Linked DNA regions of Daphnia pulex. The protein of the gene in region 1 interacts with the protein of each later gene in a pairwise test. Links are inferred from orthologs where the notes say so. Each region holds a gene or a part of one and is shown on either strand. Other genes may lie near its edges. The genes, in order: ubiquitin-conjugating enzyme E2 W-like and E3 ubiquitin-protein ligase MARCHF5-like.

Region 1 (4,307 bases):
CGTTATCCAAAATGTGTGTATTGCGGTTTATTGATTGGAGCAGTGTTTGTTATACCTAACTCCATCGCTAGATATCGATAATAGTGTTTGTAGTTTGACTAATCAAACCTTTTTCAAAATGACTATAACTTCAAATTAATTCTTAGCGTAATATCGATCCTGAGATTTTTTAAATGAATGTACAGTCGAATTAAATAATTATTTTTATGTTGAATTGAACCTTAATTGCCTCAGAAATTGAATACTCTTATCGTCACGGTATTTTCAGAAGACCGTCGTGAGTTGGAAGTAATTTTTCATCATTTGCAATTCTATCGGATTCGATCTCGGCACATATGAGCTATTTAACTGAAAGCTCATGCCCTACACGATTGAGCCATGTCATCTGTCGTGCTCGGAGATAATCAAGAGAATGTACATTTTTAATTGTGTTGGAAACTTTTTATTTGCGCCATAATAGAAACCGTGTTATAAGACATCCGCAGTGTATCAGAATGCATTATGCAATCTGACTAAACAAAAATGGCAAATGTTTGCAGAAAAATATTAATTGAATTAAGTTTTGGGTCCTCTCAAAACATCTCCAGTGGCGCAGTTGGTTAGCGCATGGTACTTATAGACAGTAATATATGCAAAACTAACATCAAAATAAAGATTGAAAGTAATGCCGAGGTCGCGAGTTCGAGCCTCGCCTGGAGAAAATTATTTAATTAATTTGCGAAATAAATAAAAAAAAATGTTGATACTTCGTTGTTTCCCACTACTGTCGCCGAGACAATGAAGAATCGATCAAACAACGTCGATTCGCTCGACTTGCGTCACTCACACCTATTGCATAATGTGTTACGTCAATATGACACTGCTGTTGTCACTATATCTTGTTAGTCCTTAAAGGATTCGCAACTGCCATAAATATCTCCAACTGAAAACAATACTACCGTTACGCTTTTGTTGTCACTTGTAAAAGATAAGGGCTCCCACCTTTTTAAAAAAACATCAACGTCTCAGTTTTGTTATAATACCATATGTCATCAATCGATAACTTTCTGCCTTAAGGTTATATAGGAGATGTACAGTACCCAGTCCCAATTAGCTGACGCGGGACACAAATTAGACAGTTAGCAGTGACATTGCACGACAAAGGAGGTTAAGGAAGACGCAACTTGGCCCGTTTGCGTAGTTATTGTTTCCGCTCACGAACCACAAAAGTTCAGTGAACGTTGGAATCCCCCAACTTATTGACGTTTGTTTTTTGTCTGCGTGTGAACTGGAAAAGAAAGAAACTCGCTGAATCAGAGATGAAGGGCAATCTTATTTGCGACGTAAAAAGAAATAAACGACGATAAATGTTTATTACAGGCAGTTTCCACGGTCGTTGAACTCGCAACTTCCGCATCTGCTTTCCGCAATTCACAGCGTTCCGCACAACTGCGTCTGCGAAATACCCAGACGTTTTTGGAGGAAGAAAACAAAACATGTCATCACATCACTCGCGTTTCACATGTTCTCCTGCTCAGGTAAATATTAAATAAAAAAATGCTTCAGTTTAATAAGTGTGAACGTATTCAGAATGGCGAAACGTTAAAGAGCCGCCTGCAATTATCTAGTCGTAGTTGGTAGAAAATGAAACTCGAGGAACCTTCGGTTGCCATGTCAGCTTGTCCTTCAATCTCATCATTATTTGGACTTGTCCTTGACATTTTGCTAGTAAAACTTTTCTTTTAAGTAATATTCTTGACTCGGTTTGAGGTTTCGGAAGTCTTTTTAGCGGTAAAAATAGCTATACTGCTCTGGAGATGGTGTGTGTTCTTGAAGCTTGCTAATCGGTTATGGCACAGATTCAACCAACTGCTTCCTTATTCTTCCCAATTGAGTCACCTGAGAAAATGAAACCCTAGAAGAGAGTTCTGACTTATTGGCACATGTCAGTTTGGCACATGTCTGGTGTGGCTTTGCACGGTTCACGTGAAGTGAAACCCTGCAGCGTACTGTCAAACTGGTGACATTTCCTTTCTATAAAAGGAGAAAGCTACATAAGTGGCAAGTTAGTTCTTGGATCGGTGAGTATAGTTTTCGCATTACTTGCTGGTGGTTGTGTCTCACATTATTGGTGCCCACTGCGAATATGAGTGACAAATCCCTGACTCAATCGTGTGTTCTTCAGAGACAAGAGGTTAACCCTGATTGTTGCCGAATAGATCAGTATCTAAATAAAACTCAATTTTTTTTTAATATTACAGAAAAGGCTGCAAAAGGAGCTTGTCTCCTTGATCAAGGAACCTCCTCCTGGTGTTGTGATCGATGGAGAATCTGTGGGCCAGAGCCTGGACTTGTAAGATTGACTTGACATTTTGTTGGACAAGTGCATCACACTTTTTTCACTTTATTTTTTTCAAATCTCACTTCCAGGTTGGTGTTGAGTATTAATGGAGCTCAAGGAACGATTTACGAAGGGGAGCAGTTTCAGTTACAGTTTCGTTTCGGACCAAAGTACCCTTTCGATTCGCCCGAGGTAACACCTTTCAGTCAACGAATTGACCAAAACCAACACGTATGTTTTACTCATTTGAGACCACTCTCTTTAGGTTGTTTTCGTCGGATCGGAGATCCCTGTCCATCCGCACGTCTACAGCAACGGTCTGTCTAGCGTGAAACCCTTAAAAGATGGTCAATAATTTAACCGCGGCTCTTTTCTCCAACCTTTTCGGTTATTCAGGCCACATCTGCCTCAGTATATTGACCGATGACTGGTCACCGGCTCTGTCCATTTTTTCGGTCTGTGTTTCCATTATCTCAATGCTCAGCTCTTGTAAAGAAAAGGTCAGTTTCAATTGTGTGAAAAAGTATCTTTCTCACCCATCACTCATTCACGACTATTGACCCGTTAGAAGAGACCACCGGATGACAGTATGTACGTGAAAACGTGCAGCAAGAACCCAAAGAAAACCAAATGGTGGTACCACGGTGAGTTTGAATGGCTACCGCCTAAACCCGAGTTATTATTAATCTTTTTTAACCATAAATCATTTCCCAATTTGCCAGACGAAGAAGTGTAAAACGGGTTGATATCTCTCCCCCTCGATTCCCGCTACGAAAAGAAAAAGAACCTGTTTCACGCTGGCGATGCTCGCGTCAGAGACAATCTAGTCGCCAAAAAAATACGAAAGAAAACAAAAATGGATTTTCTTTTTTCAGTTGTCAAAATTTTCCACCCTTCCGAATCGATCGCGTTGATTTCCCATTCCCGATATTGACCTACTACTTCCTCGCATAACGAAACAGTTCCTCTCTGTCTTGATTAATATGCGGTTGATACTCTCCAATTTTTGACTTGTAGCAATATTCACGAAAAACTACAGATGTGTAATGTTTCACACTTTTGGCGTTTGATTTTTCGACTTTTAATCGACATCAAATCTACGAAGCCTTTTTCCCCCCTTCTACTGTGTTTTATCTTACCCCCACCCATTCTTTAAATGTTAAACGAAAAATATTTCGCTCGTATAAAATTTGTTTCAACTATTATACTCAAATTCTTTTTCATTTCACGTTTGGAAGACAAAAAAACTAAACGATTTGAATTAGCCAAGTAAATAATGAATTGTATATTTCTGAAATGGTTTCAAAATCAGAGGGTAGTAGGGCGCAAATTTTGTAATCGACTTTTTCTGTTTTATTATCCTTTTCGAGAACATTTTTTGATGTGTGTGTGTGTGTGTCTTGTGTGATGTTTTTGTTTCGAAAGAAATAGAAGAAGAGATTAAAGTTCGTTTCCGACAGCTTTTTTTTAAGACTCCGCTATAACAACAGCAATGAAGGGCGTGACAAAACATACTTTTGGGTAAACGTAGAGATTAATTAAGGTGGGCGACTTGAAAAAAAATGTCATTCGTCAATTAATGATCGTATTATACACACACACACCATGACTCATGTTAATGTTAAAATAGCCAGTCATATGAGGAGTGTATATATAGCGGATATGAGCTGAAGAAAAGGAGAGGAAGAAAGGTTTTTTGACAAACAAATTCTCCTGGGTAATAAAAAGGGAAAGGTTTAAAAAAAAAAAAACAATTTAACTTTTTTTTTTCGTTTTTTCTTTTTTTTTAAATCAATTAATAAAATCAGAAAGGAGGAAATCTAAAATGATTGAGCGCTGCACGGTATTCCGTCGGACGTGTACACACTGAGAAGAAACAAATCCGCCGAGCTATTTTATCCTTTTTTAAAAAATAATAATTACAAAAATCCGAACTGCATTTTTTAAAATTCATTAAGGAGAAACGAAGAAACAATTTTGAAATTGA
Region 2 (3,681 bases), on another chromosome or scaffold:
TATGACGCACATATATCCAGCGACCATAGAACTATCTGTAACGCCATTGGGCAACGAAAATAATTACCTGGAAGTCCTAGTTGAGTCTTCAGGTTGTACTGAATTCGTGCCATGCAAGCACATGATTTGTGAGCTCGTGATTTAATATCCAAGTACTACTTGTTGACCAATAAAAATTTACGTTGATGTATTATTCTTTGTTTACTTTTTTTAAAGTCATGTCTACCAGATCCAAACAATGCATCTAGAAAACATAAAAATTGATATGAATTCATTTGTTGCCTAAATATAATTGGAGTTACAATATTTATACCTTTTCATATTCCAAACTAGAAAGTGTAGAACTGCTGGATAGCAAAGATGATTTCAGCCAGGTAATGACAAAGAATACTTTAGCTTCTGATGAGACAAGAACAAAAAAATAAAATTATAATTTTGATTGGGTGAATAAAAGCAAGAAAAATGAGCATCTCAATTTCAATGTCTTCACCATTTGGTACATGGTATAACAAACTGCAGAACTTTGCCCAGTAGTCCAATTCTGAAACATAGACCACTCCTCCCTGTAAAGACCAACACAATGGACATTCAAATAGAAACTTAGACAACGGTACATGTATCTAAACGAGAAAGTTTGTTGAACAAACCCTAATACTTGAAGCAAGTCTATTATGCCTCAACAATAAGCAATCTTACAAACAAAGTGAAAGAAAAGTTTAAAAACATTCCATTATAAGTATTAAGTAGAAAACTATTGTGGCAGCATTGGAAACTTCTCAGTTATTATGGTAAATGACAAGGGAGACTTGATCACAAGAAAACTTTATGTCAGAGCTCGTTCACGATCGTCATTCAGCGCAGATAAAGTTGATCGAGTTTAAAAGCACGAACAAGAAAATAAATTACTAAATGAAGGCCGATAATTGTGAACAGAATCGTAACAAAACTAAGATAACATTAGTTGGGGTAATCTGTGAATCATTCATTCATCACTTGACGGATGCTCAGAACAAGAAAACGCGACAAACGTACCTACTCCTATACTTACAACCATCCTTACAAAAGTCAGCGGCACTCAACAGAAGAATGAACGGAATGAAAAAATAGAACAATGAACCAATTAACTATGAAGCTACGAACGAGTGGAAAAACGTGTGGCCGACTGCGAGAAATGATGATGATCTGATGACTTATGAGAACCCCACCTCCTCAACATCCCCTCGGAAATACCAGCAGCACTTTTAGGACTCAATTGCTAAATCCCTAAACACATTTAAATAAATTGCGTCATCGTTTCATCAGAGTAATCTGTGACTCTGGTTTCATTCATCGCTTCCTCCTCGGGGTCAACCATACTTTTTGAAAAAATCTAACTAATAATAAAAAACTATGTTATGTGTCTTTTCCCCTCCCCATTCTCGAGTAAGCTAATGTCGTCGTCGTGTAAACCTGTGTAAACCACTGCGTCAGATTGCCATTTCGTAGTTTACCTTTTGCTTACTTATTATTTCATTATTATGTATTTGATTAGAAGTTAGACTGCATAATTTGATTAGAATTTTTTTTCCTACCTCGCAACTCATGGGGGGGGATGCCAACACCCAACACTTATGACGTTTTATTCCAACTGGTTTCTGTAACGGCTCCTAGATGTCCCTGTAGCATTTTATATTGTGATAAACAACAGAAAGAAAAATAACTGAAATATCATGGAGTCTGAGACAGAAGAACCCGTCATTGAAACGAATCGCCGAGAAGATTTACACGATGATAAGTAAGTGAAAGCAATTAAAAACTTGAATTTGCAATAACTTGGTTGTTTTTTTTTTAGCAAAAGATATTGCTGGGTTTGTTTTGCTACGGATGAGGACGATCTTACGGCTGTGTGGGTGCAACCATGCCAATGTAGTGGGACAACAAGATGGGTTCATGAAAGTTGCCTCCAACGTTGGGTTGACGAAAAGCAGAAAGGCAATTCATTGGAAAGGGTTCACTGTCCACAATGCAACACCCAATATGTTATAGTTTTCCCTCCAATTGGTAACTTTCTTTTTACATTGTTGATGTTTAGTCTGTTTAATGTGATTTCGTTTTTAGGAAAACTCATCTTAGTTCTTGATATTGCTGACCGCATTATTTACAGAGTGTGCCCATTTATAGCAGCTGGTGTTGTCATTGGTTCTATCTATTGGACTGCTGTGACCTATGGGGCGCTTACTATCATGCAAGCGGTTGGGGCCAAAGAAGGACTTGCATTAATGGAACAGTCAGATCCACTTTTTCTTTTGATCGGCCTACCAACAGTTCCTATCATGCTTATACTGGGAAGGCTTGTTCGTTGGGAAGAAGCTCTCTTGGGTTTTCTGAATAAGAATGTTCCCCGGGTGCCCATTGTGAAACATTTACTACCCACTTTTCAAATTGCATCAGATTCTGTGCGGCCCCATACACAGGGTACAGAGCCACCGTTTTCTGATCCGGTTTCTGCTACCAGGGTGTTATGTGGAGCATTAATATTTCCATCAATGGCTGTTCTCTTTGGAAAATTGCTATTTCATCCTGTTCACTCCAATCTAAAGAAAACTTTTTTTGTAAGTGATGTGCTATATTTTTTAATTTTAGTTTTATACCTATTTATAGTAATTCTTGTCTCTCCAGGGTGGTATTGCTTTTTTGATGCTCAAAGGAGCCTTGAAAATCTATTACAAGCAACAAATTCTTATTCGGCAATATCAACGCCGTGTGCTGGACTTCGCCAAAAGGCCATCCGACGGAAAAGAAATAAAAACAAGCAGTAATACTAATCCGTAATTAGAAAGTATGAATTTTGGGATTACATGAAAGTGTATATATTAATCTTGATTTGGGTGGGTTAAGATCAGTTTGTGTATTTGAACACATTGATACATTTTTTTTTAAACATTAGTTACAGTACTGAAACTGTTTCTGTTGAGATGCTGCTGCAAATAAAACTTGTTGGAACTTTAACCTGTGTTGCTACCTTAATTAGTTTAATTCATGCTGTAGGTGTTTGATGTCAGGTCCACAGTAGGTCAAAGAGTCACACCAGAAAGAAGGTGGACAAGAAGTCTTTTTCAGCAATCTGATTTCAGAATTAGATGGCATTCCATCTTCTCCTGCAACATCTGAGTAGTAGTAGCAATCTCTAACCTTCCCACCATTCAGAGTGCCACTTGGATCATATGGAGGTGCCAAAATATCCAGAAAAGATGCAGGACCTCCAACAGTCCAAATTGTGTGCAGGTTGTGTTCAGAAGGTGAAAGCACAGCAGGGCTATCCTTCTCATTAATACAGGAGATGGGAAATCTTCTCGCCTTTAGGTACTGAGGTTGGTGCACTATAGAGCTGTTGGTTTGTCCAGGGAGATCAATTGGAGAGTAGCTTTGTACATTAAGGCTCCCATACAACACTTTCAAGATTCCGTACATACCTTTAATCAATCATCATTTCAACAATAATTAAAGTTTTCTTTAAATTTACATCTGAATCAGTTACCAACATGATCATGCAGGGGAATAGAAGCTCCATCTTTGAGGACAAATATACCGATGCTAACAGTCTGGTTTTCAAAAATTTCCATGTAAGAGACTGGTGCAGCTTTTGATGAAAACAAATTTAAGGGAAAGCGAGGCTGGCCAGAATAGCGAGTTAATCCAAGG

Evidence for each region.
Region 2: the proteins of ubiquitin-conjugating enzyme E2 W-like (region 1) and E3 ubiquitin-protein ligase MARCHF5-like interact in binary tests that used the Homo sapiens proteins (3 or more experiments, as listed by UniProt). The link is inferred for Daphnia pulex from reciprocal best matches to the Homo sapiens genes UBE2W and MARCHF5.

What each region holds. Positions count from the first base shown.
Region 1 is NC_060027.1:2,995,300-2,999,606, reverse strand, and holds ubiquitin-conjugating enzyme E2 W-like, read left to right. Parts: upstream 1-1,588; 5' UTR 1,589-2,125; coding exon 2,126-2,173; intron 2,174-2,240; coding exon 2,241-2,332; intron 2,333-2,409; coding exon 2,410-2,512; intron 2,513-2,585; coding exon 2,586-2,637; intron 2,638-2,716; coding exon 2,717-2,820; intron 2,821-2,888; coding exon 2,889-2,964; intron 2,965-3,042; coding exon 3,043-3,056; 3' UTR 3,057-3,769; downstream 3,770-4,307. UniProt on the Homo sapiens protein: Accepts ubiquitin from the E1 complex and catalyzes its covalent attachment to other proteins.
Region 2 is NC_060025.1:257,611-261,291, reverse strand, and holds E3 ubiquitin-protein ligase MARCHF5-like, read left to right. Parts: upstream 1-1,329; 5' UTR 1,330-1,422; intron 1,423-1,636; exon of another isoform or gene 1,637-1,650; 5' UTR 1,651-1,709; coding exon 1,710-1,774; intron 1,775-1,831; coding exon 1,832-2,040; intron 2,041-2,097; coding exon 2,098-2,591; intron 2,592-2,658; coding exon 2,659-2,811; 3' UTR 2,812-2,988; downstream 2,989-3,681. Other genes in the region: 2-aminoethanethiol dioxygenase-like, read right to left, coding at 3,007-3,452, 3,518-3,681. UniProt on the Homo sapiens protein: Mitochondrial E3 ubiquitin-protein ligase that plays a crucial role in the control of mitochondrial morphology by acting as a positive regulator of mitochondrial fission and as an important regulator of immune response.